Macaca mulatta: one gene and its partners. The protein of the gene in region 2 purifies or fractionates together with the protein of the main gene of each other region. This does not show direct contact. Links are inferred from orthologs where the notes say so. Each region holds a gene or a part of one and is shown on either strand. Other genes may lie near its edges. The genes, in order: CD46, CD81, ITGB1, PTGFRN, IGSF8 and GNB1.

Region 1 (4,889 bases), on a different chromosome or scaffold from region 2:
AACAGATGTCTCGAGGGAGGGAAGGCTTTTCTGCTCATCAAACAGACTTTGGGGCATCTGTGCTTGCTGTTCCCTCAGCCTGGGAACACTCTCCTCCTGACCTGCTGCAGAAACAGGCTTGCTCTTCTGCAAAGTCAGCTGGAAGGTTATGCCCTAGGAGACCTTCTCTGAACGCGCCCCCACAACGTCCCCGCCCCCACAACGTCCCCGCCCCCACAACGTCCCCGCCCCCACAACGTCCCCGCCCCCACAGCGTCCCCGCCCCCACAACGTCCCCGCCCCCACAACGTCCCCGCCCCCACAACGTCCCCGCCCCCACAACGTCCCCGCCCCCACAACGTCCCCCATCTCAGGTTGAACATACAACCCGGTTCAAGTCCCTCTTCACTTGTAATCACCCTTTTAAAATGACCTTTTCTGTTCTTTGTCTCTCCCTGTTAGAATGCAGGGATCCTGCCTGTGTTGTCAATACTTGTGGTTCCAAAAGCCCCATTTGTTTGCCTCCATATCTGTTAAATACCAGAAAATTAAATATACTATTCGGCTGGGGATTAGAGCCTAGGAAAAAGCTCCTCCTGCCTCCAAGAGGAAGGTTGTTTAAAGAGCTCTGCTCAGGATGGTCTTTCTGTGGTACCTAAAAAGCTAGGGCAGGGGCAGCTGAGGGCCAGAAAGGATCTGTCTCCCCTGTTTGTGTTAACTTTGCAGAGCTTCCGGTACTTCAGTCTTGCATCTCACTGATCATTAAAACGTTCATTTTGAAGGAGGGTGATGGGAGTAGGGAGCAGTGGTGATAAGAAAACGAGAGGACTTTTTCTTTTTGTCTTTTACGATTAATGCTTAGAATAGGCTTAGTGCTAGAAGTGCGGCCTGAGCAACATAAGGAGAGCCCACCTATACAAAAAATTTGCCCACTTATACAGAAAATTTAAAAAAAAAATTAGCCAGGTGTGATGTTGCACGCCTGTGGTCCCAGCTACTTGTGACGCTGAGGGGGGAGGATCACTGGAGCGCCCGTGGTCAAGGCTGTAGTGAGCCCTGATTGTACTCCAGCTTTGGTGACAGAGTGAGAGACCATGTCTCAAACCAAACAAAACAAAACACAAACACACACAAAACAAAACAGGAAGTTGAAGAAGATGATGAATGCGATTTGAAATAGAGGAACATACAAAAATAAAATGAATAGGGTGCAACATGGAAGATAAAACTAAGAATGAAGAGAAGGAAAAACAAGGTTAAGTTTGAGGTTCATAAGCATAAATCAAGACAGGTATGAAACCTAGAGAAAGTAAAAATGAGAACTCACGATGTTAGGCAGAGAGAATACATGGATTAAAATAAACATTCAATTTTTGGAGCAACTCAGTCTCACAAGGAGAAGATTTTGTAAGCAGACAGTGCTGTGCATGGGAGACCTGCCCTCTCAAAAGTAATTGCCAAATGGTTCCAGATAGCTGAAGGAAACAATGTATCAAAGTTCAGGCCAGTCTCATTCATTCCTCCAGTAGAGGAACTGCTTTTTTGGACAAAATCCCCAATCTCCTGTTGTGTGTGGTCTCTTCTGCCTATTTTAGGTGTTTTCCTTATTTCCGATGAAAGAAGCCAAGATCAGTAAGTGCTTACACAGTAGCTTCTCAGTTGCTTACTCGGCATACTACCATGCAAAGAGAGCAGTCCATATCCGGTCACCTGCCAGGATACCAGAAGACTGGGAGATAGGCAGCACGAGAAATGGCCTAATCTTCTTTCTCCACTGTGCTGTAGAATGATTGTTTTCAATATGAAATTGGTTACAATATATTATTCACATTGTTTTGTGTTTGACAGCAGTGGACTTTGAGTACCAATTTTTTTGTGGATGGCTACTATGAGTGACATATTGTGCTGCGTGTTGTGGCTGCATGGATGAATGGAGTTGGCCATGTTAACTATTAAACACAAAAGCATGTGATAATTACCTGAGAGATCCATGCAGGGGAGAGTCCAGGGGAAGGTGACTGATCACAACTTCCCAGGGAGAGGCAGAAAATGCTTCCTGGAGGAGATGATGGGTGGATTAAGGAAGATAAGAGTTGAGCAGGAGTTGTAGCTACTGGCCAGGGAGGAAGGGTATTCAGAGCAGAGGGAGCAAGGTGAGCAACAGCACCAGGATGTGACACTACTGGACTGCCAAACTACTCAGTGTGGCAGAGTAGGGCAAAAGAGGCAAGAAATAAGGAAAAGGATTAAATCACAGGGCAAGTAATTCTGAAAAGCAACAGGCTTATCAGGAATAAACACTCATCATCATAAACTCAGACTTTCACGTTATTATCTGCCCTTTTAGGGCAGCTTGAGCCTTTTGTTTGACTTAGCACAACATGAATCCAAACTAGGGTTGTTTGATCTCCCCAGGCACAGTAGCAGACAATTTATTGAATACTTATTGGCAGATAGAGTTTGTCAGTGTCAGCATTTCTTTTTTTTTTTTTTTTTTTTTTTTTTTTTTTTTTTTGAGACGGAGTCTAGCTCTGTCGCCCAGGCTGGAGTGTAGTGGCCGGATCTCAGCTCACTGCAAGCTCCGCCTCCCGGGTTTTTTACGCCATTCTCCTGCCTCAGCCTCCCGAGTAGCTGGGACTACAGGCGCCCGCCACCTCGCCCGGCTAAGTTTTTGTATTTTTTAGTAGAGACGGGGTTTCACCGTGTCAGCCAGGATGGTCTCGATCTCCTGACCTCGTGATCCGCCCGTCTCGGCCTCCCAAAGTGCTGGGATTACAGGCTTGAGCCACCGCGCCCGGCCTAGTGTCAGCATTTCTTGAGCACCCACGAGGTGGGTGGAGTCTAGTAGAAAAAGAAGAACATGTTCCTTGAACCCCAGGAACATGCCTTTTAAGAGAAGATAGCCTGAAGCGACAAGCTATTATAAGTTAGTGTTTTAAACTATGGAAGAACAACCTGAGCAGAGTGCTCTATACTGTAGAAGACTTCTTAGAGGAGAAGTTACTTTTGAAATGCATTTAGAAAAATGTGGGGAAAGATGCGTCTGTATATTTTTTAAGACCAAAGACATTAATGCTGTCTCTTCAGTTTATTGGTGAATGCTTATTCCCAAAGAAACCAAAAGCTAATAGGATTGTTACTTAAAACATGCAAGTCCCATTTCCTCCACTACTACCAGCACTCAGGTAAAAGCATGGAACAATCATTTAAAATCTTGCCAAGGGCCTTTCTGTTTTTTCTGTACTACTTGCTGCCAGACCACAGTCATGGCTCGTTAAAGTGCTATCAGTACTTCATCTTCATGTTCCTATTCTCTTATCCCTAGATGCCTGTGAGGCGCCACCAACATTTGAAGCTATGGAGCTCATTGGTAAACCAAAACCCTACTATAGGGTTGGGGAACGAGTAGATTATAAGTGTAAAAAAGGATACTTCTATATACCTCCTCTTGCCACCCATACTATTTGTGATCGGAATCATACATGGCTACCTGTCTCAGATGAGGGCTGTTATAGTAAGTAAACGAGCCCCCTTTTTTTTTTTTCTGCTTGCTCTAGAGATTCCTTCCTTCCTTCCTTCCTTTCTTCCCTCCTTCCTTTTTTTTTTTCCTGCTTGCTCTAGAGATTTGCACACATTTTGGGGTACATATTCCACTATGGTGATAATGATTTTCTTCTTGTGGAATGAGGTTTAAGATAGCAATGCATTATTGCAGGCTTTGAGAAATCAAAATCTCCAAGAAATCTTTTTCCTGGCAGTAGATTGCCTAGGTGAACATGAAACTGAAATTTGCCCTTATAATAAGTAAATAAAGAAAATAATATTCCCATGCATTCAAAAGAGCACTGCAGAATTTTGATTCTGATTCAGATCTGTTTTATAACTGGATTGAAAACCGTCAAAATTATTTTCTTTTAGGAGAAATGTGTCCACATATACGGGATCCTTTAAATGGTGAAGCAATCCTTGCAAATGGGTCTTACGAGTTTGGTGCTGAGTTACACTTTATTTGTAACGAGGGGTAAGTTGCTCCTTAGAGGAAATAAGGGAAATGTTAGTAATTTTATTTTTGTTTTGCTTCTCTTCTTAAGCTTTCCTGTAAACTTAATTTTGCTTTCTATGTGGCAAGTTATACTTCTAGCCAAACAACTCTTGGATGTTTTATGGAGATAGGCAAGATATTAAAGTAAGTAGAAAATAATTGATACTGAAGGAAAGCAAAACTCCTTGTTATTTCTGACAATAAGTCTGTTGTAAGCATTAAGAATGTAGTAATCATGAGAATTTATCCTTCACAACTGAGTGTCCCCTATTTAAATCCGCCAACTGTTAGAGTTTAAGTAGGGCTCACAAAAATGAGAAATAGAATTGCCAACTACAGATACGCTTGTATCCAGATGACTCTGTTAAGTGTTACCAGACCAGACCAAAACTGACCTGGTTAGCCTTTACCATCATGTTCATCAAAATCTCTCAGTTGAAAAACCTTATTTTTGAGACTGCTACAATGTGAAGCATCTCAAAAACCGGTACTGAGCGCTCAGTAATAGCCTTTGTTCTGTAGAGATTTTGAAGTCTTATATATTGGAGATACTAGACATTTGAGATAAATGTGCATTTAGAGAGTAAATGTAATTTTCTGTCCATTTTCTCTTGCTAAAACAGAACACTTAAGGCTAGGCATTTATAAAGAAAAGAAATTTATTTGGCCTATGTTTCCGGAGGCTGGGAAGTTCAAGGGGATGGCAGTAGTGTCTGGCAAGGGCTTTCATGCTGCATCATAACATGCTGGAAAGTGAAAGGGAAATGTAGCACCTGCAAAAAAGACAAAGCACAAGGGAGGGGCTCTCGCTTTATAACAATGTGCTCTTGTGGTAACGAATCGAAGCCTACAAGAATGAGAGCACATT
Region 2 (4,004 bases):
TCCTGGACTGAGTCTTAGTCTCTGTGCCCCAGGGCTCCACACAAGCTGCTCACTCCTCGTCAGGTCGTGGGCTGGTGACTCCCACTAGCCCCTCACACACACACCGGCTGGGCACCTGGGTGTGTGTCCCAGGTCCCTTCCCACAGCCTGCCCTCTTTCCTCCCTCTGGCCACTGCCTGGCTCCAGTTCTTCACCTGTCTGGTCATCCTGTTTGCCTGTGAGGTGGCGGCTGGCATCTGGGGCTTTGTCAACAAGGACCAGGTGAGCCTGGGTGTGTGGGTGTGCCCCTCACCCGCCACACCTCCCCTGTCGTGGGTGGGGCGGGTGGGGGGGGCACCCTCCTCCCCTGTCGCGGGTGGGGCGGGTGAGGGGGGCACCCTCCTCCCCTGTCGCGGGTGGGGCGGGTGGGGGGCACCCTCCTCCCGTCGCGGGTGGGGCGGGTGGGGGGGGCACCCTCCTCCCCTGTCGCGGGTGGGGCGGGTTGGGGGGCACCCTCCTCCCCTGTCACGGGTGGGGCGGGTGAGGGGGGCACCCTCCTCTCCTGTCGCGGGTGGGGCGGGTGAGGGGGGCACCCTCCTCCCCTGTCACGGGTGGGGCGGGTGGGGGGCACCCTCCTCCCGTCGCGGGTGGGGCGGGTGGGGGGGGCACCCTCCTCCCCTGTCGCGGGTGGGGCGGGTTGGGGGGCACCCTCCTCTCCTGTCGCGGGTGGGGTGGGTGAGGGGGGCACCCTCCTCCTGTCGTGGGTGGGGGTTGGGCTGACCCATAGTTTGTGGGAGCTCTTTGGGCTCCTCCTGGGTCCCCCGTGCTAGGAGGATCTCCAGGGGCTTTATGGAGGAGGCAGCATTGGGGCTAAGCACAAGGCCAAGCTCCCGTGTCCCAACACCCCCTGGGCAGCTGAGAGTGCAGAGTCCTTGTTCTCTGGGGTCTGGCCTTGAAGCCACCCTGCCCAGGGAGAGCCTGGGAAAAGTGCGTCTGCCTGGGGCGGGGTGGGGTGGGGGCAAGGTGGGGGAGGCCCCCCCGTGCATGTGACCGCATCGCTCCCCCAGATCGCCAAGGATGTGAAGCAGTTCTATGACCAGGCCCTACAGCAGGCCGTGGTGGATGACGACGCCAACAACGCCAAGGCCGTGGTCAAGACCTTCCACGAGACGGTGCGGCCCGCGGGGGCGAGGGCGGGGAGCAGGGCTGCGGGAACCCGGCTGGGGAGTGTCTCATCCTGAACAAATCCTGCCTCCGCCCAGACCTCAGGAGCAGGAGGGGTGCCCTTGGGACCTCCAGGACCCCTGGGCTCAACCGGTCCTCGGGTGGGAACCTAGTGGGCCAGGCTGGCCCAGGGTGTGGAAAGCTCTGAGCAGCGCAGCTGAGGAGGAAGAAGGCCGGCCCCTGGATGCGTTCTGCAGTGGGGAGCGCTGCGTACCCTTGGCCGCCTCCCCGTGGGTTCCCCAGAGCCGCCATCCCCCGGGCACGTCCAGGGCTGACCTCGCACCCCCGCTCTGTGCAGCTCGACTGCTGTGGCTCCAGCACGCTGGCCGCTCTGACCACCTCAGTGCTCAAGAACAATCTGTGTCCCTCGGGCAGCAACATCATCAGCAACCTCCTCAAGGTGTGCGAGGCCGCCGGGGCCGCGCCTGATCCCCTCGCGCCGCCCAGCCCCTGGGTGGAGTCGGCAGGTCACACGGCAGCCCCACGGGGAGCGACCACGCTGGGTGGCGTGGCCCCTGCCAGGGCTGCCCTGCTGGGAGGGTAGGGGTGGGACTGCATCTGGCCCACGAGGAAGGCAGGCGCCCTGCGCTGCGCATGCCGGGTGAAGAAGGTGGAGGCTCTGGGGGGGCGGAACTCACCTGCACCCCCAGCTCCGCGTGTGCACTTGTGGGTGTGGATGCCCCTGACAGCCTGTGGCTGGCAGGGCCTGCAGGCCGTATAGTGCCCTGTGGAAGTTGCCTGCTGAGGCCTCAGTGGAAGTCGTCAGTGGGTGCACATCAGTGATGCTGTAGGGGTCTAGTGACACCAATGATCGTGATCTCAGGGGAAAAGGGCACAGTGTGTCCCAGGTATTTCGCGTTTATGTTAAAAAGGGTGGAAAATAGAAAGCTGGCAGAGGCCGGGCCGCTGCACCCACCTGGTCCGAGGTGGGTGGGGGGTGGGGGCTGTTTCCAGGATTCCCCTCTGCACTTTCTGTGGTGACCACGGATTACTGAGTGACAACAGGGAGCCGGGAGCTGAGGCCCGGTCCCTGACCACACGCGCCTGGCCACCCTGCAGAAGGACTGCCACCAGAAGATCGATGAGCTCTTCTCCGGGAAGCTGTACCTCATCGGCATTGCTGCCATCGTGGTCGCCGTGATCATGGTGAGTGGGCGGGGGCGGAGGGCCTGTTCTCTGGGCTGCCCCTTCCTCAGGGCCCTATGCTGACCGAGCGCCCCACCACCCTCCCGCAGATCTTCGAGATGATCCTGAGCATGGTGCTGTGCTGTGGCATCCGGAACAGCTCCGTGTACTGAGGCCCCGCAGCTCTGGCCGCAGGGACCTCTGCAGTGCCCCCAAAGTGACCCGGACACTTCTGAGGGGGCCATCACCGCCTGTGTATATAACGTTTCCGGTATTACTCTGCTATACGTAGCCTTTTTACTTTTGAGGTTTTGTTTTTGTTCTGAACTTTCCTGTTACCTTTTCAGGGCTGACGTCACATGTAGGTGGCGTGTGTGAGTGGAGACGGGCCTGGGCCTTGGGGACTGGAGGGCAGGGGTCCTTCTGCCCCTGGGGTCCCAGGGAGTTCTGCCTGCTCAGCCAGGCCTCTCCTGGGAGCCACTCGCCCAGAGACTCAGCTTGGCCGACCTGGGGGCCTGTGTCCACCCAGCCCGCCCGTCCTGTGGGCTGCACAGCTCACCTTGTTCCCTCCTGCCCCGGTTCGAGAGCCGAGTCTATGGGCACTCTCTGCCTTCATGCACCTGTCCTTTCTAACAGTCACCTCCAACTGTAATCACAACATCCTGAATCCGTCATTTAATAAAGAAGGAACGTCAGGCATGCTACCAGGCCTGTCCAGCCCCTCAGTGCCAGTGGCGTCTGAGACCTAGGGGTTGGCCAGAGGGTGGGGGAGTCCGGCACGGGTGGGGCTCGGCTCTGTGGACTGTGTGGGCTCCAGGGTGAGGGGGTGGGTTGGGATCCCTGGTGTTCACAAAAGGAGTCACTCTGTAAAATTTGCGGAGTTATTTATTCTGAGCCAAATAAGAGCACCTGTGGCCTGTGACACAGCCCCGGGAGGCCCTGAGAACTGGTGCCCAAGGTGGTCTGGCTACTTGAATTTATACATTTTAGGGACATAAGACATCGATCAATACATCTAAGATGTATGTTGGTTTAGTCAGAAAGGTAGGATGATTTGAAGGGGAGGGACTTTCAGGTCATAGGCGGATTAAAAGATGTTCTGATTAACAATTGGTTGAGTTTATCTAAAGACCTGAAATCAATAGAATGGACTGTCTGGGTTAAGAGAAGGAGTTGTGAAGACCAAGATTCTTCTTATGCAGATGAAGCCTCCGGATTGTAAATGTTTCTTATCAGACTTAAAAAGGTGCCAGAATCTTAGTTAATTATCTCCTGGATCAGGAAATAGACCCTGAAAGGGAGGGGGATTCTCTATTGAATGTAGATTTTCCCAAGAGACAGCTTTGCAGGGCCATTTCAAAATACATCAGAGAAATATATTTTGGGGTAAAATACTTTGATTTCTTTCAGGGCCTGCTGTCACGTTGGTATCTTATTGATACAGAGTCTGTTTTGTGAGTCTTAAGGTCTCTGTTTATTTTTAGGCAAGAGTTTCGCTCTTGTCGCCCAGGCTGGAGTGCAGTGGCGTGATCTCGGCTCACGGCAACCTCCACCTCCCAGGTTCAAGCGATTCTCCTGCCTCAGCCTCCCGAGTAGGTGGGACCACAGGAATGCACCACCACACCCAGCCAATTTTGTATTTTTAGTAGAGACAGGGTTGCGCCATGTTGGCCAGG
Region 3 (4,889 bases), on a different chromosome or scaffold from region 2:
CTTTTTACTCTTTTTTCCTCTAAATTTCTCGCTTCATTTCATTCATTTGATCTTGAATCAATGATACCCTTTCTTCCACTTGGTCAAATCGGCTACTGATGGTTGTGCATGTGTCACGTAATTCTTGTGCCATGGTTTTCAGCTCCATCGGGTCATTTAAGGTCTTCTCTATGCTGTTTATTCTGGTTAGCCATTCGTCTAATCTTTTTTCAAAGTTTTTAGCGTCTTTGCGATGAGTTCAAACATCCTCCTTTAGCCCGGAGAAGTTTGTTATTACCGATCATTTGTAGTCTTCTCTCAGCTTGTCAAAATCATTCTCCGTCCAGGTTTGTTGCGTTGCTGTTGAGGAGCTGTGTCCCTTTGGAGGAGAAGAGGTGTTTGATTTTAGAATTTTCAGCGTTTCTGCTCTGGTTTCTCCCCATCTTTGTGGTTTTATCTACTGTGGGTGTCTTTGATGATGGTGACGTACAAATGGGGTTGTGGTGTGGTTGTCCTTTTTGTTTGTTAGTTTTCCTTCTAACAGTCGGGACCCTCAGCTGCAGATGATGGTGACATACAAATGAGGTTTTGGTGTGGATGTCCTCTCTGTTTGTTAGTTTTCCTTCTTTGTTAGTTTTCCTTCTAACAGTCAGGACCCTCAGCTGCAGGTCTGTTGGAGTTTGCGGGAAGTCCACTCCAGATCCTGTTTGCCTGGGTGTCACCCGTGGAGGCTGCAGAACAGCAAATATTGCAGAACGGAAAATGTTGCTGCCTGATCCTTCCTCTGGAAGCTTCATCTCAGAGGGGCACCTGGCTGTATGAGGTGTCAGTCGGTCAGATGTCTCCCAGTTAGGCTACTTGGGGATCAGGGACCCACTTGAGCTGGCAGTCTGTCCGTTCTCAGATCTCAAGCTCCATGCTGGGAGAACCACTATTCTCTTCAAAGCTGTCAGACAGGGACGTTTAAGTTTGCAGAAGTTTCTGCTCCCTTTTGTTCAGCTCTGCCCTGCCTCCAGAGGTGGAGTATACAGAGGCAGGCAGGCTTCTTTGAGCCACGTTCAAGCTTCCCGGCCGCTTTCTTTGCCTAGTCAAGCCTCAGCAATGGTGGACGCCCCTCCCCCAGCCTCACTGCCGCCTTGCAGTTCGATCTCACTGCTGTGCTAGCAGTGAGTGAGGCTCCGTGGGCGTGGGACCCTCCAAGCCAGGCGCGGGATATAATCTCCTAGTGTGCCATTTGCTAAGATTATTGGAAAAGCGCAGTATTAGGGTGGGAGTGTCCTGATTTTCCAGGTACTGTCACAGCTTCCCTTGGCTAGGAAAGGGAATTCCCCAACCCCTTGCACTTCCCTGGTGAGGCGACGCCCTACCCTCGTTCGACTCACAGTCTGTGGGCTGCACCCACTGTCCGACAAGCCCCAATGAGATGAACCCAGTACCTCAGTTGGAAATGCAGAAATCACCTATCTTCTGCATTGCTCATGCTGGGAGCTGTAGACTGGAGCTCTTCCTATTCGGCCATCTTGGAACCTCTTAAATTATTTTTGTTTTGTGTGATTGCAATTTTGGAATGTTTCTTCAGGTGCAACGAAGGGCGTGTTGGTAGACATTGTGAATGCAGCACAGATGAAGTTAACAGTGAAGACATGGACGCTTACTGCAGAAAAGAAAACAGTTCAGAAATCTGCAGTAACAATGGAGAGTGCGTTTGTGGACAGTGTGTTTGTAGGAAGAGGGATAATACAAATGAAATTTATTCTGGCAAATTCTGCGAGTGTGATAATTTCAACTGTGATAGATCCAATGGCTTAATTTGTGGAGGTAAGTAAAGGACCTGAAGTGCTTGTAAGACGTGATCTCATCTAATGCCACAAAAAATCTAGAGTTTACTTGGTGCATAAGTAGAAGAGGGGTAGCTCGAGGGTCAGTTCTGCCCCAGGTATACTTTCTCACACGTTGTTGCTTATTTTACTTTTCAGTCAATACTGTGATTGTATGTTTTTACCATTAGTTTGAGAAATGATATGCTTAATTGCAGGAAATGGTGTTTGCAAGTGTCGTGTGTGTGAGTGCAACCCCAACTACACTGGCAGTGCATGTGACTGTTCTTTGGATACTAGTACTTGCGAAGCCAGCAACGGACAGATCTGTAATGGCCGGGGCATCTGCGAATGTGGTGTCTGTAAGTGTACAGATCCGAAGTTCCAAGGGCAAACATGTGAGATGTGTCAGACCTGCCTTGGTGTCTGTGCTGAGCATAAGTAAGTATTTCCTAATTGCTTGAAATAGTTGATACTTCCTCTTGGCTCTCCAAAGCCTGTGTTGTTACTAGAACCGGAACAGTGCCAGTATTAGAATATACTATAAATAAAATGCCTGCCACGTGGAAGCCTACTCTTTAATTCCTAAAAATTTTTTCTCAACAGCTAGTATGTATTACATGGTATGAAGTGTGTCATGTGAGAGTTGTACTATTATTTTGATCTGAATGTGGTAGATAATTGAATTTACATGGTAACCTTTATTTTGGCAATTAAGATTTAATTTAGTTTGTCATTACCAATTTCTTAATTACTATCTTTTGACAAAACTAAGCCAAATTAAAGATTTTTCCTCTTGAAGGATTATTATACTAGTAACATATTTAAATTATTTAAATATTATGATTTTGGCCGAGGACAGTGGCTCACACCTATAATCCCAGCACTTTGGAAGGCCGAGGCAGGTGGATCACTTAAGGTCAGGAGTTTGAGACCAGTCTGGCCAATGTGGTGAAACCCCATCTCTACTAAAAATACAAAACTTAGCCAGATATGGTGGTGTGTGCCTATAATCTCAGCTACTTGGGAGGCTGAGGCATGAGAATTGCTTGAACCCGGGAGGCAGAGGTTATAGTGAGCCAAGGTTGTGCACTGCCTGGACGACAGAGCAAGACTCCATGGCAAAAAAAAATTATTATGATTTTATGTTACATATTTAATACGTGATAGGGCTAATTTATTTTACTATCTTTTATTAATAGTGTTTTAATTTGAACTGTAATCTTTTATTATGGAAATTAGCATCTTTTTACATAATTTTTCTATCCACAAATGTAATGCATCTCTTCATTTATTCAGATCCTCCTTCATAGCTGTTTGTTCAATTTGGTCACAAGAGTTTAGCATGGGAAATATGTTTAAGCAAATATTTATTGAAATAATAAAATTTAAATATAATAATATGGTTTTTTTTTAACAGAGAATGTGTTCAGTGCAGAGCCTTCAATAAAGGAGAAAAGAAAGACACATGCGCACAAGAATGTTCCTATTTTAACATTACCAAGGTAGAAAGTCGGGACAAATTACCCCAGCCAGTCCAACCTGATCCTGTGTCCCATTGTAAGGAGAAGGATGTTGACGACTGTTGGTTCTATTTTACATATTCAGTGAATGGGAACAATGAGGTCATGGTTCATGTTGTGGAGAATCCAGGTAGAAATGCGATGATTGCAAACATTCTTTTCATATCTTGTATGTCTTGTTTCTGCTTATTTAGGCCTAACATCCAGAAACAGTCTCCAGCTGGAATATTTTAGGTCAAGTTGGGAAATTTTTCATCTTTCAAAGCTTAAGATATTACCTAATTAACTGTATAAGAAATAAGGAAAACAGAGTTCCACTTTTAAGTTTTCTAAGTGGAGAGTTTGAAGATTAAATGCAGTGATTTATATAAGACACTTAGAACGATGCCTGACACCAAGTGCGTAGTAAGAGTTTTTTTTTTATGATTGATGATTTTAAAATTAGAGCTTGATTTAAGTTTGAATACTAGGAAAGATAATTTGTTAAAGGATATTAATGTAAAGTGTTGATTTTGTTCAACTTCTCTGAAGGTGAAACTTTTTTTTTTTTTTAATCTTAGTTTTCCTGGTAGCCTTTTTGTAGATTCTTTAGAATTTTCTACCTTAGTGTATATGTTTTTGTGTAAACATAAGCTTTCATTTCTCTTGGGTAAATAGTAAAAATGGCATTTTGGAGCATATGGTAAGCATATGTTTAACTTTGTAAGAAGCTGCCAGGTTCTTAGAGTCCTGTAGTGTTTTGAATTATCATCTAGGTGTTTTGCAAATATTGTCTCCCAGCCTGTGCCTCCTTATCGTTTCATTTTTTTAAGTGTCTTTTGAACACCACAGGTTTTAATTTTGATTAAGTACAGTTTACCAAGTTTTTCTTTTGTGGCTCTTATTTTTACATTGTCTTTCAGAACTCTGCCTAACCCAAGATTTTAAGGATTTTTCTCCTGTGTTTTTTTCTAGAAGTTTTATAGTTTCTGGGGTTTCACATTTAGATCTGTAACTCATCTTTAGTTATTCTTAGTGTGTGACAAAAGGCTCAGTTTTTTTCATATCAGTGTCCACTTGTTCTAGGGGCATTTGTTGAAAAAAGACTGTCCTTTCTCCACCTTTGTTGGAAATCAGGTGACCTTACATGTGTAGGCCTGTTTCTGACTCTATTCTGTTCCATGTATCTGAGTGTCTATCTGTTAGCTATACCACGTGGTCTTGTAGCTTTCTTTATAGCTAGCCCTGAAAGCAGGTAATAAGAGTCTTCCAACTTTATTATTTTACAAAAGTGTTTTTGAGACACTTCCCCTAGTTCACTGCCTTCCACGTTAATTTTAAAATTGGCTTGCTGATTGCTACAGAAGTTCTGCCAGGAGTTTGAGTGGGATACTATTGAGTTTATAGATCAAACTGGGAAGAATTGACATCTTAACAGTATTAGGTTTTGTAACTCCTGCACATGGAGTATCTCTCCATTTATTCAGTCTGAAAGATTTCTTTTTATCAGTGTTTAGTAATTCTTAACATGCAAATTTTGCATATATTTTGTTAGACTTATATGTAAGTTTTTCATGCTTTTTCATTCTAT
Region 4 (5,526 bases), on a different chromosome or scaffold from region 2:
ATTTCTGAATGAGCCATGTACTTTCACTCATCCACACTTCAGGCTTTTCCCCAGAGCCTAGAATGCTCTTCTATCCTTTCTTTCAAAATTCTAATTATCCTCAAGGCTCAGCTCAAATGTCACCTCTTCAGCAAAACCAGCCCCAACCCCCAAGTCAAAATTAATCATCCCCTTCCTTGTTTCCCACACTTGGTTTCCACGTCAGGTATTTCATTCAGGCCTGTGGTTAGCTATTTTATTCTCTGTCCACTCACACCCACCAGCCGCTCAGGCAGATGCTGTGTCTTGGTCATTTGTCTGGGACTCCCAGTATTGAACACACGGTTGCACACAGAGTGGCACTCTCTCTGTGAATGTGGCACATTTCTTGAGTGGCCACTCAAGAAATGCCACACTGAGTGGACGGGCAAGACAGATCAGACACAGGCAATGGATGTGAAACCTGCCCTATGTGGCTGGGTGGGTTCTGGTGGGATCATGGTAGGTGGGTTTAGAAAGGCTTCATGGAGAAAGTGAGTTTTAGGGGAAAAAGGAAATACTAATACACAGGCAAGAGGTGAGAAGTAGAAGGGGCCGGAAAGTTTAATATAGTCTACATAAAGGAGAGCAAACAGGTTAGATAGAACAAAGTGTGTCAGCCAGAGAAGACTGGAGGGGAGGACACTAGGGGCAACATCTCCTTGGAGGAAAGTCATAAGGACCCAGTGAGAACAGGTGGGAGCCCCAAAAATGATCATTTAGGAAAAGGATGAGCTTAAAAGGGAGGCTGGAGGAAATAACCAACCACGAAGACACCAATTGTGTGGGAAACAATTGGGACCTGGGCTAAGACAGTAGCCGTAGAAACAGGAAGGAAAGGAAGAAGCTGGAGTCTGTGCTATGGGGAGACGCAAGAATTGAGAGACTATGTGAATGTGGAGGTCAAAAAGAGCAGTGATACCAAGATTATACTCAGGTTACTCCCTAGGAGAAAAGATGATCTTGCTTATCAATGTATTACATTTCAGGGATCAGTACAGTGCTAGAGTAGTGTAACACAGGGAGACCTTCCCAGAGGTCAGGCTGAAGTCACGCCAAGTGAGATTCTGTGGCAGCAGAGTTATCAGGAGGGTCATCAATGGTTCAGAGAACTGTCAGGTAAAAAGGCACCGGCTAGTGACACCACAGAAATTCCCAGTGTAATTCATAGGAGGCATCCAGCCAGGACAGGATATGCTGGAGTACAATCAAGATTTCCCCAAGCTGTGCTTTCCCCACTTCTATTTTGCTTTTGTCAGTCTCTCTTTGCCCCCTTCCCTCTTCCCCCCTCATTATGATTACTCAAGGGCATTGTTTTCAAAGTTTTCAAAGTTCTACCTCATCCCACCCTCATAACTGGTACCCAGGTTGTTCAAAGAACTGCACAACTCTAGGGGGAGTCATTCACACAGACTACAAAGTGAACAGCAGCTCCCGAAGTTGCACAGTGCACAATCTGTGCAAACCCAGGCCACGGCCCTGCTTGACCTAGACACACACAGTCAATAAAAATTGTGTGTGGACTATAACAGCAGTGCACCACTAACATACAACTTACAAGGGTCCCGCAGTGAAAAGTAAAGATTAAAAGCACTACCACCGGGTGTGGTGGAGCATGCCTGTAATCCCAGCACTTCAGGAGGCTCAGGTGGGAGAGTCAATTGAGCCCAGGAGTTTGAGGCTTCAGTGAGCTATGGTTGTGCTACTGAACTCCAGACTGGGTGACAGAGTGAGGCTTTGTTTCAAAAATAAAAACAAAGCACTAGGATCAGGGACTATAGAAAAGATGCCATAAAACTAAGTGGAAGATCTGGAAGCTTTCTGCACATGGGCTGAAGCTGAAGCAATGTGGCTGGACGAGCTCTCTGAGGGAGTCAGTTCAGAAAATCTCTTCAAGGTGAAGGAAGAAAACAGAAGCTAGCAAGGCTGGTTTACCAGCAGCAGGAGTCACGGGGCTTAGAGCAGTGTGGGCCCCCGGTGTCCCCAGTAGGGGAGTGGCTATAGAAGGCCTTCTCTGGGACCCTCCGACCATAAGTGCAGAGTAGTCATTTGCCCTGTGTGCAGCTGGGACCTGGATGGGACGGACACCGCACACCATGCGCTCTGTAAAAGACTCAGATCTGCCTTCTCTAGGGGCTTGGAAGAGAACCCCAGGCCGGGTCATAAGAATCATCTTGTCCTGGTTGACACTGACCACAAAGATCCAAGAATATCAAAGCATTTAAGAGTCGGCCCTGGGGTACCATGGTGGGCACTTAATAAACATATTTCCGTGGCTGGCTAGGATCACCATGTGGATCTACGTGAAGATGGTGTCTGTGTATGGAGTGAATGGAAAATGGAGAGGGAAAAAACCCACAAAAGATTCCTTGGGTGGGGGGAGGGCGCTGGGCCAAAACCTCACGGGGCACCGAGGGTTTCCGGAGGGTGGAAGATGAGGGGACAGTAAGGGAGGAAAAGTAACAGGTAGAAAAAGTTGGAGAAGCCAGGCTCTTAGGTCTTTGTGTATAAATACGCAGCTAGGCAGCTTCAAGAAAAGCTAAAAGAAAAGACTGAGACAGACAATCTAGCCACGACGAAAATGACGGCAGGACTCGCCCGCCGATTTCCATTGTAACGCTCCGGGCCACCCTGTGACCTTCGTGGAAGGAAGTTGGAGGATTCTCTCGCTTCCCTGGAAAGGCAACTCCGCGCGGGCTGGGCGAAGAGAGACCCGGCCGGCGGCGGCTATGGCGGGGCATATCAAAGGCTCACATTTCCGCTCTCGAGCGGGGGACCCGGGCCGGGACCGCAGCACCTTCCGGGCCGGGAGTTCAAGGTGAGCCGGGCTCCCGGCGGCCAACAGGTAGGGAGGGCTGGGGAAAGCCGGCCCGGGCCACTCCCCCCGGCACATGTTGGGGGCGAGGCTCGGCCTGGCGGAGCCGCCACTTGCACCCTGCGCGCGGGGCCCGGGCTGATTCGCGCCAGGCTCCGGGCGGCCCCGCGGCCGCTCCCCGCCGGGCCAAGCAGCCCGCGCACCCCGGCCGGGTTTCCCGGGAGCAGCCCGGGCACCCTCAGTGACCCAGGCCGCGCGCTGCAGCCGCGCCCCGCCGAGCCCTCCAGGGCCCTGCCAGACCCCCTGCGCCCAGCTGAGCCCCGCGCACACTCACCCAGCGACAGGAGCGCCAGCAGCAGCGGCCTCGGCGCCAGGCGCCCCATGCTCGCCCGGCGGGAGCGACTCTCCCCCTCCTCCTCCTTCCCCGCCGCCTCTCCTCCTCCTCCTCCTCCAGCTCCGGCTGCTCCAGAGTCGGCGCTCCTCCGCCTGGGCCGCGCGCCTGCTCCGCTCTCCTCGCGAGCCGATAAATCCCAGCGCTGGGGCGTACGTGCGCCCCTGGCTCCGCTCGCTCCCTCCCGCCTCCTTCCCTCCCTCCTCCAGCCGGCCGGGCCCGGGAGCCGGCCCCGCCGATCCGAGTGTGCAGCCCCGACCGCTTCCCGAAAGCAGAAGGGAAGAACCGCAGCGCCCGCCCGCCCGCGCCTCCCATCCGGCGCTTTGCCAGCAACAAACACAAACTTTCCCAAGCCCCTCCCCGCTCCAGGTAACGGAGGAAGCGCAGGGGCCACCCGCTTAAAGGCGAGGAGGCGTCGGAGCCCACCCTGCCTTCCCCTCTAGGCCCCCACCCCACGAGAAACTTTCCTCCGACCTTTAAAAGTTGGCCTGGGAAAGACTCGTCTGGAAATCCCTTCGCTTTAGCCCTATCCCGGGACACCCCGCGTTCCATCACGCTGGAGTCACCCACGCGTGTCTAGTCTATCCTCAATCAACTGCCCGCTCGTTCGGCCTCGCGTCCTGAGCTAAACACCCCAGCAACCAGCCGCTTGGCCTATGCCAAAAATTACGCAGATGGGAGCGAAGGAGCTGAAAGGACTTTTGAAGGCCACGGATTCCAACGTCTACCATACAGAGGCCTTAAGTGTTTCGGTGAGGTGCCCAAGGATTCACAGGGAAGGGGCAAAATCAGAACCCCGCTGTCCTGACTGCCCACTCCCCGGTGATTTGGGTGGGCCTGCCTCCTCCTTACCCAGCACCCTCCCTCTCCTCAGCGCCTGTGGCACTGATTAGAACAGCTCCACACAAAGACACCCATTTAAAAAACAAACGAAACCCAAGTGTATTAATAGCTATAGTACTTCATATAGAATGTACTGTTAAGACTTCATATTTCTTGCTCTAAGTGGACACCACTGGTTGCCAATAAAGACTCATACTTCCCCCCACAATAGAGTTTTGTGCTTTTGATTTGAATACAAAAGGCCCCACGGGTATTGGGAGAAACGGAGCATTCCTTGCTTGAAACTTAGCAAGCATGATTCAGACACGCAAGGAGCAGGACTGGTGCCCACTGCCCCTCACTGGGCTTTCATTCACATGTGGAAAACGGATCACAGATGCTTATGCGGAAACTGCCCACACTCACACAGGGGAAGAACATTACTTTTACTCTCATGCATCCGTGTTTCAACCAACAAATGTTTCTTATTTCCACTATCAAATGTGTGATTAGCCAGGTATGAACCCTTTGGAAAGAGTCTTAAAAATTCATTCCTGGTGGTGCAACGTTATTGTACTTAATGGCACTGAATGGTACACTTAGAAATGTTTAAAATTGCTAGGCATGGTAACTGGTGCCTGTAATGCTAGCTACTCAGAAGACTGAAGTTGGGGGCGGGGGCGGGGGTAGAGGGAGGCCGGGAGCGGGGGCAAGGATGGTGTTGCTTGAAACCAGGAGTTTTTATTTGTTTTGTCTTTTTTCTTTATTTCATTTTTGAGACAGGATCTCGATCTGTCACCCAGGCTGAAGTGCAGTGCTGCGATCAGGAATCACTGCCGCCTTGACATCCCAGGCTCAAGCAATCCTCCCACCTCCACCTCTCAATAGCTGGGACCACATATGTGTGCCACCACACTCTAGCTAATTGTTTCTATTTTTTTGTAGACACTGGAGTCTCCCTATGTTGGCCAGGCGGGTCTTGAACTCCTGGGCTCAAGCGATTTTCCTGCCTCAGCCTCCCAAAGGACTAGGATTACAGGTCTGAGCCACTGGGCCAAAACTTTTTCTTGTTTTTCTTTTTTCTTTGTTTTTGAGGCTAGAAGTTTGAGACCACTTGGGCAACATTGTGAGACACTGTCTCTAAAAAAAAAGTTGTAATTTTAAAATGGTAAATTTTGTGTTATGTACATTTTATACAATAATTTTTTTTTAAATTTTTTTCTGCCACCAAGCCTTTCCTGGTTCTGTTCATACACACTGTAATTCCTTTATCTTCCCCATCCCAATTCTTCCCTAGAATTTTTCAGGGAAGTTTTCCAATTTCATTCAATCAACCTTGAATGCAAGCCTAATGTTAGGCCTTGGAAGATAGTGGAGCTTCAGAGAAATGTGAGGCCTGGCACCTTCAGCAGCTCAGATTTCAGCTCATCCTTCATCTTTCCTTTTCTTAACCACCTAGAAAACTTAATGTCTGAACCAT
Region 5 (5,489 bases), on a different chromosome or scaffold from region 2:
AAAATATGCTATAAGGACTAGGACTAATATCCAAAAGGGCCTTCTTGTGTCAGCATTTCATAAATGACATGTCATTATTACAATTGGTAACGTCTTTCATCCCTCAAGCATCATGAAGGCATTCAATCCACTCGATGATTAAATCCATTATAAAGGGAAAGACGTGTTCATCCAAAAGCTTCCCTATGCGTTTCAGTTTTCACATAGCTCAGTATGCCTGTGGATGGATTTAGATGATGAGGCTCCGGAGCAACCAGGCTGTGGATATTTCAAAGTGGGAATAAAAGGCACCCTACTACCCTGTTCATGGGCCAGTGCTGGCAGTCCTGGGAGGTGAGGGCTGGACCTCTGACCTCCCTTCAAGGCCCCAAACATTTGGCCTCAGTTTCTCTGGCTTCTCCAGGGTTCCTCAATGTGGCTTCTACTGGCAACCCCATGAGCGTCTTCTCAGAGTCAGGCACTCTGCCACGCTTGAGGAATACAATGTCAAGGAAGGTCTGGTCTGGCCTGTGCCACTTACCCTCTCTGGGCCTCAGTTTCCTCTTCTGTAAAGGGGGGGTGAGTGAGTGGGAGGGAAGAGGGGAGAGGGAGGGTGTTGGAGGGTAGAGGGTGGTAAATGGGCTCTGGGATCACCTCCCACTGACAGCCACTCTGACAGCCTTGGCTTTGCAAACCTGGCCATCTCTTCTCCCCATTTTGGTCTCATCCTTCCTGCCCTTCCCCACTCCCCATCTTTACAGTTCAGGAAGAGACAGAACACCTGGGAAGGGTGCCTCCTCCATTCTCCCACCTCCAGGGCAAGCCCCACTCTTCCCAGAACAATGTTCATCTCTTCCCACTGTCACTGAACATAGACACTCCTTCACCTAAACGCCAGGTCTAAACTAGGTCTAAATTAAGCCTCTTAGGAAGCAGTTCAAATAATAATTCAAAAACTAAAACAAAATAATCCTTCGTTATCTCCCATTTCGTGTTAGTTTCCTGTGCCAAACACTTTATGTACATTACCTATCATCCCCTTTGGGTGGTGTGATCAACCTCAATTCAATTTGCAGAGGAGAAAACTGAAGTTGAAGGAGGTTAAACAACTGGGCTAGGATCACCCAACCCAGAAATGACGTCACATGGACGGCCGCCTCTCCCAATCCATTTTTCTTTTGGTTTTGCCCTCTGAGGGGGTGAAAAACAGGTCTCCAGTGACCTTGTGGATCCTGGAAGCGCCCTTCAGCTCAAACCCTTCGCCTTTAGGAACTCCTGGGTTCTGCCAACCCCTACTTCAACAGGGTTTGCAGCGAGGACTATGGCTCAGAGAAAATAACTGAATTCTAAATGCGTGGCCACAGCCAATCCCAGGGCCCCTGCACCCAATTCTCCAGGAAAGGCTGGCAGGTGCGGGGTGGGGTGCGCTCTGTACGAGGGTGGGTGGGAATTTCGATGCGCCGAGGTGCAATTAGCTCACTCTTGCCGGGGCCTCGGGCGGAGCCAGGGCCAGGGGCGGGGCGAGACCGGGGTCCATGGCGGAGTCAGGTTTGGAGGCTGACGTTAGCCCTGGGGGGACTGGGAAGGGGTGGGGCTTGGGACTGGGGCGGGGCCGGGTCCCGGGGCGGAGCCAAGATTGTAGTCCTACTGTAGTCCTGGTGGGGCGGGGCGAGGGAGGGGCCGGAACTGGGGCTGGGCCGAGACCCGGGGCGGAGCCAGGGCTGGAGTCTTGCGGGACGGGACGGGACGGGGAGGGGCGGGGAGGGGCGGGGAGGGGCGGGGAGGGGCGGGACCGGGGCGGGGCTGGGACTCGGTGCGAAGCAAAGGTGAGTTTCGAGGGTCAGGGCGGGGCCGGAGCCAAGTGCGGAGCGAAGAACTGAGTCTGGCGGGGTGGGGCGGGCCGGGCCAGGGCTGGGTCCGGGGCGGGGCGGGCTTAGACGGGGCGGAGGAAGGGGCGGTGCCGGGGCGGGCTGGGGCTAGAATGGTCTCAGAACTGCCGAGGGCTGGAGGGAAAGCAAGGGGAGGGGCGGGGGGAGGGGCGGAGGGAGGGGATTCGGCAGCTCCAGCTCAGCTCGCTCGGCGCACCCACGCCTCGCTGCCCAGCTTCCTGCCCCCCACCTGGGCATGCGCCCCCCACCCCACCGGTCCCCCAGAACCCGCGCCATCCCCCGGAGCCTCCCCAGAGCTGGCCGCGCAGGATGGGCGCCCTCAGGCCCACGCTGCTGCCGCCGTCGCCGCCGCTGCTGCTGCTGCTGCTAATACTAGGTAAGTCAGGCCCCCGTTCCGGTTCCCGGCCCCGCCGGGCAGGTGCCTGCCACCCAGCACCTCCCGAGCATTTCGGGGCTCCTCACATCCTCCTCCGTCAGGGGTACCTCCAGCCTCCCCGGGGTCGGCGGCCAGCTGCGCTTTGTGGCTGCCCGCCGAGCCAGTCTTGGGAAGAGTGCAGGCTCCCCAGCTCTAAGTCAGGGAGTGGGGCACAGGGAGGACCCACTAAAGTGCTGCCCCAGGCACTGCTTGGCCTCCTGGGGCAGGCCCCACTTCTCAGCTAGCATACCCACGTCCTGGGGTCGCTGCACCAAATGCTGCGACTCCTTTCTGCCCCACACTCAGCTCCAGGCCTGGCCTTGGGTGCCCGCCCTGCGTGGGCAGTGCCTGCCCAGCTTCATAATTGCCCTAGAGTTGGCTGGAGGCCCAGAGGCCAGTTCTGCCCACGATCTTTGAAGTAAGTCTCTCCCAATTGCGCTCCACACACTTCATCAACTGGGGGCAGTTCTCTCTCTCACCCCCATCTCCATCCCAGGTTGGGTCCCTCTTTGCCCTTCTTCCTCTCTCCCAAATGGCACTTGGCTCTGCAGCCACCCATCAGTTTTCACACCCGCTTAGTTCCAGCTTCCTTGCCTCAGGAGAAACCAGGTTCCATGGAGACTGATCCTGGGATCTCAAAGCACCTTGTGCCTGCTGTGGTGGGTGTTCATGGTGGGTTGTTCTGGGCTAATCTTGCATGGATGCCTGGGGGTAATGACAGTGGAATTGTTTTTGGCCTGAACTGGAAGGCTGCCTGTAGGAGGTGGTCTGGGGAAGAGTATGGCGTGGAGAAGTGAAACTGCCAGTACAGATGTTGATGAGGCTGAAGCCCTTGAAATGAGAGTGAAGCGTGGAGGTGGGGATGGTGACTTCAGAGCTGCTGTTGTCAAGGCAGAGGCTGAAGGTAGCCCCAGCTGCCTGTTTCTAGACCAGGGCTCCACAGTGGCACCAAGCAAAGCCTTCCCCTGCTGCAGGTCCCTGGGCCCTGCAGGGCTAGGATGAGTCCTCTCCTTGGTCCCTGGGCAGGTGGCAGGAGGATGTACAGAGAGGAAGGCTCTGTGGGACCTGGGTTGCCTAGCACTTGCTGTGTTTTCCCCAGCGGGCAGCATGGAGCAGGGAGGAGCCCAGGGAGGTGGGGAAGTGCTGGCCTGTGGTTGAAAAAGGAGCACGCAGACGTCTGAGCACCCACTGCCTGTGGGCACTTACATTCATTTCACAAGTGAGGAAATTGAAGTAACTTGCCCCAGAGAGCACATTTAGTGAGTATTAGGGCTAGGATTTGAACACAGATCTGATTCCAAAGCAGGCCTCTTTGCTCTCCCTTTCCTCGCTGCAACTAATACAGAGGAGGTGAGAGAGAGCTGTGTGGCAACTGATTTCCTAAGGCTGTGGAGGTAACTTTCCCATGGGGATCTCCAAGCATCAGCAGTTGTGGAGCCAGGAAGATGGGAGGGGGCCTTCTGAGCAGTCTGCCCCGAGGCAGTCAGGGAAGGTGTCAGCTTGGCCGTCTCCACCATCACCCTGATTATGAAACTTGCCTGGCCTGGGGCAGGGCTCTCCTGAGTCACATACGCACTCATGCATGGTCAGAGCTGGAGCTCTTAGTTCTCCTCCAGTGTGGAAACCGAGGCCTAGGACAGAAAGAGACTGGATCCCATGCCACACAGCTGGGCATGGGGATGGTGCTGGAATCTCACTTCCTGATTGACAGCCTGTGCCCTTAACAACAGACCATGAGTTCTCCCTGTGACTCAGCCAGAGGATAAAGGAAGGGGCTAGGAGCCCAGCAGCAGGGGTGGGGAAGTTCAGAGGAGCCATTCTAGAGAAGCTGGAGGGTAGAGTTTGACCACAGACTCCTGGGCATTTTCCTCTAGCTTCTGCAGAAAGTCCATGGTATCCCCCTGGGAGGCCTAAAAGTGACACTCTGGTTGGTGAGGTCAGTCCCTTCAGGCCTGGCCTTGGAGTTTCCCCATTTTCCTCCCTGGTTTTGCCCCTCTGGAGGAGGGTGTGGAAGCCATCTAGGGACAGCATGATCTTGGCTAAGATATTATACTTTTCCTGCCTTACCTTTCTCATCTGTAAAATGGGGAGGGGGGGAGGGGTAGCCTAGCCCTCTTTACATTCTGAGGTTCTGCGATTTTATCTAGTGGGAGCTATGGAAGGAGAGAAGGGAGGAGCTAAGCCCTCTAAGTCTGCCAGGAGTATCTGCTGGGGTAGAGTTGGGCATAGGGGTGGAGTAGGGTGAAGAAGAGAGGTTTGACCTTTCTGAAGGGAGAGAGATGAGAAGGGGCAGCTTGGGATTTAATGCCTCCCTACAGAAAGAAAGCCATATATGTAAATGAATGCATACCATATGCAAATGAAGGCTTTGTTAAGGAACTGGGGCAGGCGCCTTGTGTGTCTGCTGGGCTAGCCAGGAAGGTTGGCAGGCACTGGAGGAGGGGATCTTCTGCCCCAATGGCGAGAGCAGAGCCTGGACCTTGCCCCAGAAGCCCCAGCTGCCTGGGCAGCCCTGTGGGGTGAGAGAAGCAGTGAGCTCATTGCGCAGCTGGAGGGGGGAGGGCATTGTGTGGTGAGAACTGACTGGGCCTGTGCCCTTTCCAGCTAGGGTCACTGGCTCCATTGTCTGGTCCAGGTGACACAGCTGAGCCAACTAGCACTTCTGAGCAAGACTGCCAGCTCCCCTCAAGCAAAGGGGAGGGACATGTAGTCTCAGCATCCCCCAGCCAGAAGGCTCCCCTGGCCAGGCACTGAGGAAGGAATGGCAGACATGGAGGTGGGTGAGTGGCAGGGACAGATCAAGGTTTAGCTGGAACCAAAGCCTGGTTAGGTCAGGAATCAGATGTACTCCTTTCTGCCTTCAGGCGCTCTGCTTCTAGTCCACCAGAAATGGGATGCATCTAGGTGCCAAGGCAATCCTGGGCCCGTGCCACCTTCTTGAGATCCAGGTGTCTTATATCACAGCATCCCTTTCCTATTCTCAGAACAGGGTCCAAGCTGTGGACCATCTTCCCCAGGTGTCCTTTCCTTTTGTAGGCAGAGATCAAGAATGGTGCTTGTGGTGGCAGAGGGCATGGAATGGGGAATCAGGCATCTCCAACTTCTTCTGCCTTTCCCTACAGGAATGGGATGCTGGGCCCGGGAGGTGCTGGTCCCCGAGGGGCCCTTGTACCGCGTGACTGGAACAGCTGTCTCCATCTCCTGCA
Region 6 (4,269 bases), on a different chromosome or scaffold from region 2:
TGCAACGTCTGGGACGCGCTCAAAGCCGACCGGGCAGGTACGTGACCGGGGGGCTTTTCTGTGTCTCCTGGACATTTATGTGGCATCTTTAGGGCAGACACAGAGTTGTTGATAAGCTGCAGTGTTTAGTATCAGTGGGACTGTGGCATGGTATAGCAGGAGTGATAGTCGCAAACTGATGGCCCAGCTCTGGCCCTCCAGGCAAGTGGACTCCGAAGAGCACCAGCAGATCTTCCCACATGTGCGGGGGAGGGCTTTGGGGAGGGTCAGTGGGCAGGAGAGGGTCAGCTGTGCAGGCTCCAGGGCCCAGTCCCATGTTTTCCCCTCTGAACTCTGCATCAGGGGAGCAGAGCGCCATGCAGGGACACCTCTGGGTGCTGTTACAGTTAACATATCAAAGGCAAGCATGTTATTGCCAGGTGTATTAAAACACTAGATGTACAAAAGATGAGGCTTCCTTACTAAAAGTAGACATTTGGGCATTTCAATTTGAGAACTGTTGACACTTACAGACTCTTAGATTCATTCGTCTCAGTACCTGGGAGGACAGAAGAAGGGAGCATGGCTCCAGGTCTTGGCCCTTACCGGGGCTTCCTGCTTCCGGATGGGTGCCATTCTCATGTCCTGGTTAAACACCCTTGTTTTTCTCCCCAGCCTGGGGGGACCAAAGTGGAGCCATTTCCGGCCAAGTCCCACAGTCATAGTGCTGTTGAAAGGCGGTGGAAGCCAGCCCAGGCCTTGGCAGAGCACACACTGGCCCCTATGCTCAGCTGTGTGGTGTCTGCAGGAGGTGGGGGAGGGTGGCTGAAATGGGCCTTCAGATCCCCCTGGGAGGAAGTGGAGCTTCTGGCTGGTGATGATCCAATCGAAGGTTATTGAGTGTTGACAGAAGGCCCCCCTCACCATGTGACAGTGACAGTGCCAGTGGTCTCAGCCACCATCGCTACTCCTGTGTTCTGTGCCTTGTGCTGGGCTCTAGGGATCACAGACGAAGGAAAAACAGCTCATGCCTCTAAGCTTCTGTGTTACAGTTGCTTTGAGATTGGGGTGGTTTTGATTTTTCTTTTTTTTTTTTTTTTGAGATGGAGTCTCGCTCTGTCGCCCAGGCTGGAGAGCACTGGCACGATCTCAACTCACTGCAACCTCTGCCTCCCGGGTTCAAATGATTCTCCTACCCCAGCCTCCCGAGTAGCTGGGACTATAGGCCCGCACCACCACGTCCTACTAATTTTTGTATTTTTAGTACAAACGGGGTTTCACCATATTGGCCAGGCTGGTCTCAAACTCCTTACCTCGTGATCTGCCCGCCTTGGCCTTCCAAGGTGCTGGGATTGCAGGCCTGAGCCACCGAACGTGATGATGGTTTTGATTTTTTTGATTGTGGCCTTTGCTTATTTTTTGAGTTTTGTGAGTGCTGAGAAGTCAGTGCCGGGGGTTCTGGATTTATTGATTGTGTGTGTGTGCGTGCCTTTGAATTTTAATAAGGCTGGCCATATGCTGCAGTTTAATTCCCACGTGGACACAACTTTCCCTCCCTTCCTGGCCGTGGGAGACTCTGGGTCTTGTCCCACGAGGGGCTCACCATCCGCCCTCGTCACAACATGGCACACAGGTCACAGGTGAGATCGATACCTCTGTGATTCTGCTGTTGTTTGCTTCCAGGTGTCTTGGCTGGGCATGACAACCGCGTCAGCTGCCTGGGCGTGACTGATGATGGCATGGCTGTGGCGACAGGGTCCTGGGATAGCTTCCTCAAGATCTGGAACTAACGCCAGTAGGTAATGCAGCAGCCCAAATGTCCTTCTCTGAGGAGAACTGTGCGTGTTTCTCATAGAACGTGTGAAGTTGTCATTAACGGTTTCTAGATAAATGTTGATGTAGCACTGATTTGGAATTGTGTTGTGGGAAACGTTTACAGAAATCTGAAGTCACATGCCCTCAGCCGCAGACACTCATGCAGTGGTGGGAAGAGCAGTGACCTGACTATGCGTCTGCACTTAGATTCTCTGCCTCTTTTCACATTTCTTTAAACTCTGTTTAAAACAGCATGTGGATGCCATGGAGACTGGAAGACCATTCCAACTTGGACGCGTTACCATGAGAGCATATCCTATCCAACCGTACTAACGTGGACACCCTACACCTCCCCTCAGAACTTCAAAAGGGCAAGATCTTTTTTCCTTCACTTATTGCTGAAACCAAGAGCACAATTCCCAGTAAGAGAAGGATCTCTGTGCTGTAAAACTAAAACAAATTGTGCATTCCTTCCGGGGCCATCGTCTTTGTTTTCTTTTTTGTCTTGAATGAATTTTAAAAGGAAATATATAATAAAAATGTTAACCAGAAGGTAAACTTGAGTGTAATTGTGAGACAGACACACCTTTCCACTAGTTTATTTGAATTTTAGACCAGTGACCCTGTTTTGTGGCATTCACGCAAAACACGCTGAGGGCTTTGTTCATCTGGTCATCGTGTCCAAATTTCAGTCATGTTTGTAGCAAGATTTTGGAAGCATTCATATTTCCTTTTTAAAATATATTCCTTTGTGTTCAACAGTTAATCAAAACCAGAGAGTCTAGGGCAGCCTCTCTGGCGTTGTCAGTGATGTAAATTCAGTCCCTGATTTTTAATTTTCTGTCTAGTGTCACAGATCATTGTTGCACACAAACATGGCATAGAAAAGAACATGTTCAGAAGCCATGGGGCCAAGCACATGTGGGGACGGTCTCGAATGCGTGATCAGAGAATCCTTCACCTTTGCTGAAAAGTGAGCTCAGATCCAGCACCATGTTCCTCCTGACCCATCCTGTCTATCTTCTCAGTTGAGTTTTTAATCTCACTTTGGGTTTCCTTGTGAAGTTGGAGGGAAGTTTATAATAGCCTAACACTACCCCACCCCCAACTAGGAGGAACCTCTGTTTTCAAGAGAGATGCCTGTCCTGTGCTTGGATAGTCAGTCAATTATTTGTGTATGAAACAATGTACAAATCAATGTTTTGAAAATAATGATCTCAGACTTTCTAAGTTAAATTTTAAAAATTTTGATTGTTTGCCATATTGGGTGGGTTTACTCTTAGAATCGCATGCTGTAGAAATGCTCAAAAGTGCATATAGGACTCAGTCCTTAGGTGTTCTTTTTCTTTAAGAAATAACCTCTTACAGTTGTAACCATTGCGGCTCTGTCCACTTCTCGTTGCTGCTCTGTGGCACATATCGGAAGCAGTACAGCGCGCGGCTCTACACGCTTGGGTAGCGGGATAAGTCACTGTTTTCTTTATTTCTTTGAAAAAAAAAGTTCTGTTGCAAACGACTGCTGTTGGATTCTGAGGGTGGGGAGGGAGGGAGGGAGGGAGGGAGGGGGAGGGAAGAGCCTGCCCTCCCTTATGGATTCTTCAGGGCCTCCGCCTCTGAGGCGGCTCATTCCCATCACACAGATTGTCCTGGTGTTCATTTCAAGGCCAGTGTTCAGCAGCAGCGTTTGGAAAGCAGGTTCTGTGGGACCCCCCCCCCCCGCCCCGCCCCCCGCACTCCTTCATAGCAGCAGTAGTGGCTTCTCCATCCTGTTTTCTGCAACATTCTATACAAAACTGTGCTGTGACCTTGCGGTAGGCCTGGATCTGGCAAAGAGAATACAAATGAAACCCCTTCTTTCTCTTTCCGTCCAACAACTCTGTAGAGCTCTCTGCACCCTTACCCCTTTCCACCTTTTGTATTTAATTTTAAAGTCAGTGTACTGCAAGGAAGCTGGATGCAAGATAGATACTATATTAAACTGTACTGTTATTTAAGATGTAATAAAGCAGTTTGACATGAGGGACTTTGGTGTGGTGATTATTTACGGGTCCATTTTCAGTTTACGACACGCCCACCTCCCTAGGCTTACCCTGCTGCTGTAAGGTCTGACAGGTGTGGTCATGCCAGGCAGTGCCTTGGCCACCAGCACGTCACAGAATCCATGAGTGGCGCATTGGCTCCTCGGAGGGGTTCCTGGGAAGCTCCACCTCACAGGCCAGCGGAGCAGGGAGGTCCACCTGCCATCCCCCAGACCCCTCCCCGTGCATAGGCCTTGCCCACAGCACCGTGGGAGTCTTCACAGGCGGCTGCCTTGCCTTTCTCCTCTGCCGTTTCCCTCCCTCAGAATGTCTGAGGATGTGACTCCAGAGACTCGCTTTCCTTGGGACTGAACCGAGTGTTCCTCTTGGTCTGAATCAAAACTGCATCTCGTAAGAAAAAATAAGAACACTGACCACGGTAGAGTGGAAAACCACG

What was found.
Region 1: the proteins of CD81 (region 2) and CD46 purify together in Homo sapiens (co-immunoprecipitation; 3 studies listed by BioGRID and IntAct, with this or other methods). This does not show direct contact. The link is inferred for Macaca mulatta from reciprocal best matches to the Homo sapiens genes CD81 and CD46.
Region 3: the proteins of CD81 (region 2) and ITGB1 purify together in Homo sapiens (affinity purification with western blotting; 4 studies listed by BioGRID and IntAct, with this or other methods). This does not show direct contact. The link is inferred for Macaca mulatta from reciprocal best matches to the Homo sapiens genes CD81 and ITGB1.
Region 4: the proteins of CD81 (region 2) and PTGFRN purify together in Homo sapiens (co-immunoprecipitation; 7 studies listed by BioGRID and IntAct, with this or other methods). This does not show direct contact. The link is inferred for Macaca mulatta from reciprocal best matches to the Homo sapiens genes CD81 and PTGFRN.
Region 5: the proteins of CD81 (region 2) and IGSF8 purify together in Homo sapiens (co-immunoprecipitation; 3 studies listed by BioGRID and IntAct, with this or other methods). This does not show direct contact. The link is inferred for Macaca mulatta from reciprocal best matches to the Homo sapiens genes CD81 and IGSF8.
Region 6: the proteins of CD81 (region 2) and GNB1 purify together in Homo sapiens (co-immunoprecipitation; 4 studies listed by BioGRID and IntAct, with this or other methods). This does not show direct contact. The link is inferred for Macaca mulatta from reciprocal best matches to the Homo sapiens genes CD81 and GNB1.

The regions. Positions count from the first base shown.
Region 1 is NC_133406.1:65,500,109-65,504,997, forward strand, and holds part of CD46 (membrane cofactor protein), read left to right. Parts: intron 1-2,452; exon of another isoform or gene 2,453-2,512; intron 2,513-3,268; exon of another isoform or gene 3,269-3,304; coding exon 3,305-3,493; intron 3,494-3,897; coding exon 3,898-4,000; intron 4,001-4,889. UniProt on the Homo sapiens protein: Acts as a cofactor for complement factor I, a serine protease which protects autologous cells against complement-mediated injury by cleaving C3b and C4b deposited on host tissue.
Region 2 is NC_133419.1:2,302,327-2,306,330, forward strand, and holds the end of CD81 (CD81 antigen), read left to right. Parts: intron 1-132; coding exon of another isoform or gene 133-186; coding exon 187-261; intron 262-1,046; coding exon 1,047-1,151; intron 1,152-1,501; coding exon 1,502-1,603; intron 1,604-2,262; coding exon 2,263-2,349; intron 2,350-2,438; coding exon 2,439-2,501; 3' UTR 2,502-3,058; downstream 3,059-4,004. UniProt on the Homo sapiens protein: Structural component of specialized membrane microdomains known as tetraspanin-enriched microdomains (TERMs), which act as platforms for receptor clustering and signaling.
Region 3 is NC_133414.1:34,295,453-34,300,341, reverse strand, and holds part of ITGB1 (integrin beta-1), read left to right. Parts: intron 1-1,558; coding exon 1,559-1,797; intron 1,798-2,014; coding exon 2,015-2,237; intron 2,238-3,216; coding exon 3,217-3,449; exon of another isoform or gene 3,450-3,717; intron 3,718-4,889.
Region 4 is NC_133406.1:123,368,791-123,374,316, forward strand, and holds the start of PTGFRN (prostaglandin F2 receptor negative regulator), read right to left. Parts: upstream 3,508-5,526; 5' UTR 3,217-3,507; coding exon 3,168-3,216; intron 2,837-3,167; exon of another isoform or gene 1-2,836. UniProt on the Homo sapiens protein: Inhibits the binding of prostaglandin F2-alpha (PGF2-alpha) to its specific FP receptor, by decreasing the receptor number rather than the affinity constant. Functional coupling with the prostaglandin F2-alpha receptor seems to occur.
Region 5 is NC_133406.1:106,785,641-106,791,129, forward strand, and holds the start of IGSF8 (immunoglobulin superfamily member 8), read left to right. Parts: upstream 1-2,030; 5' UTR 2,031-2,177; coding exon 2,178-2,311; exon of another isoform or gene 2,312-2,340; intron 2,341-2,589; exon of another isoform or gene 2,590-2,701; intron 2,702-2,759; exon of another isoform or gene 2,760-2,942; intron 2,943-5,373; coding exon 5,374-5,489. UniProt on the Homo sapiens protein: Member of the immunoglobulin superfamily (IgSF) that links tetraspanin-enriched microdomains to the actin cytoskeleton and plays several important roles in innate and adaptive immunity.
Region 6 is NC_133406.1:238,918,154-238,922,422, forward strand, and holds the end of GNB1 (guanine nucleotide-binding protein G(I)/G(S)/G(T) subunit beta-1), read left to right. Parts: coding exon 1-37; intron 38-1,662; coding exon 1,663-1,769; 3' UTR 1,770-1,778; intron 1,779-2,046; 3' UTR 2,047-3,293; downstream 3,294-4,269. UniProt on the Homo sapiens protein: Guanine nucleotide-binding proteins (G proteins) are involved as a modulator or transducer in various transmembrane signaling systems.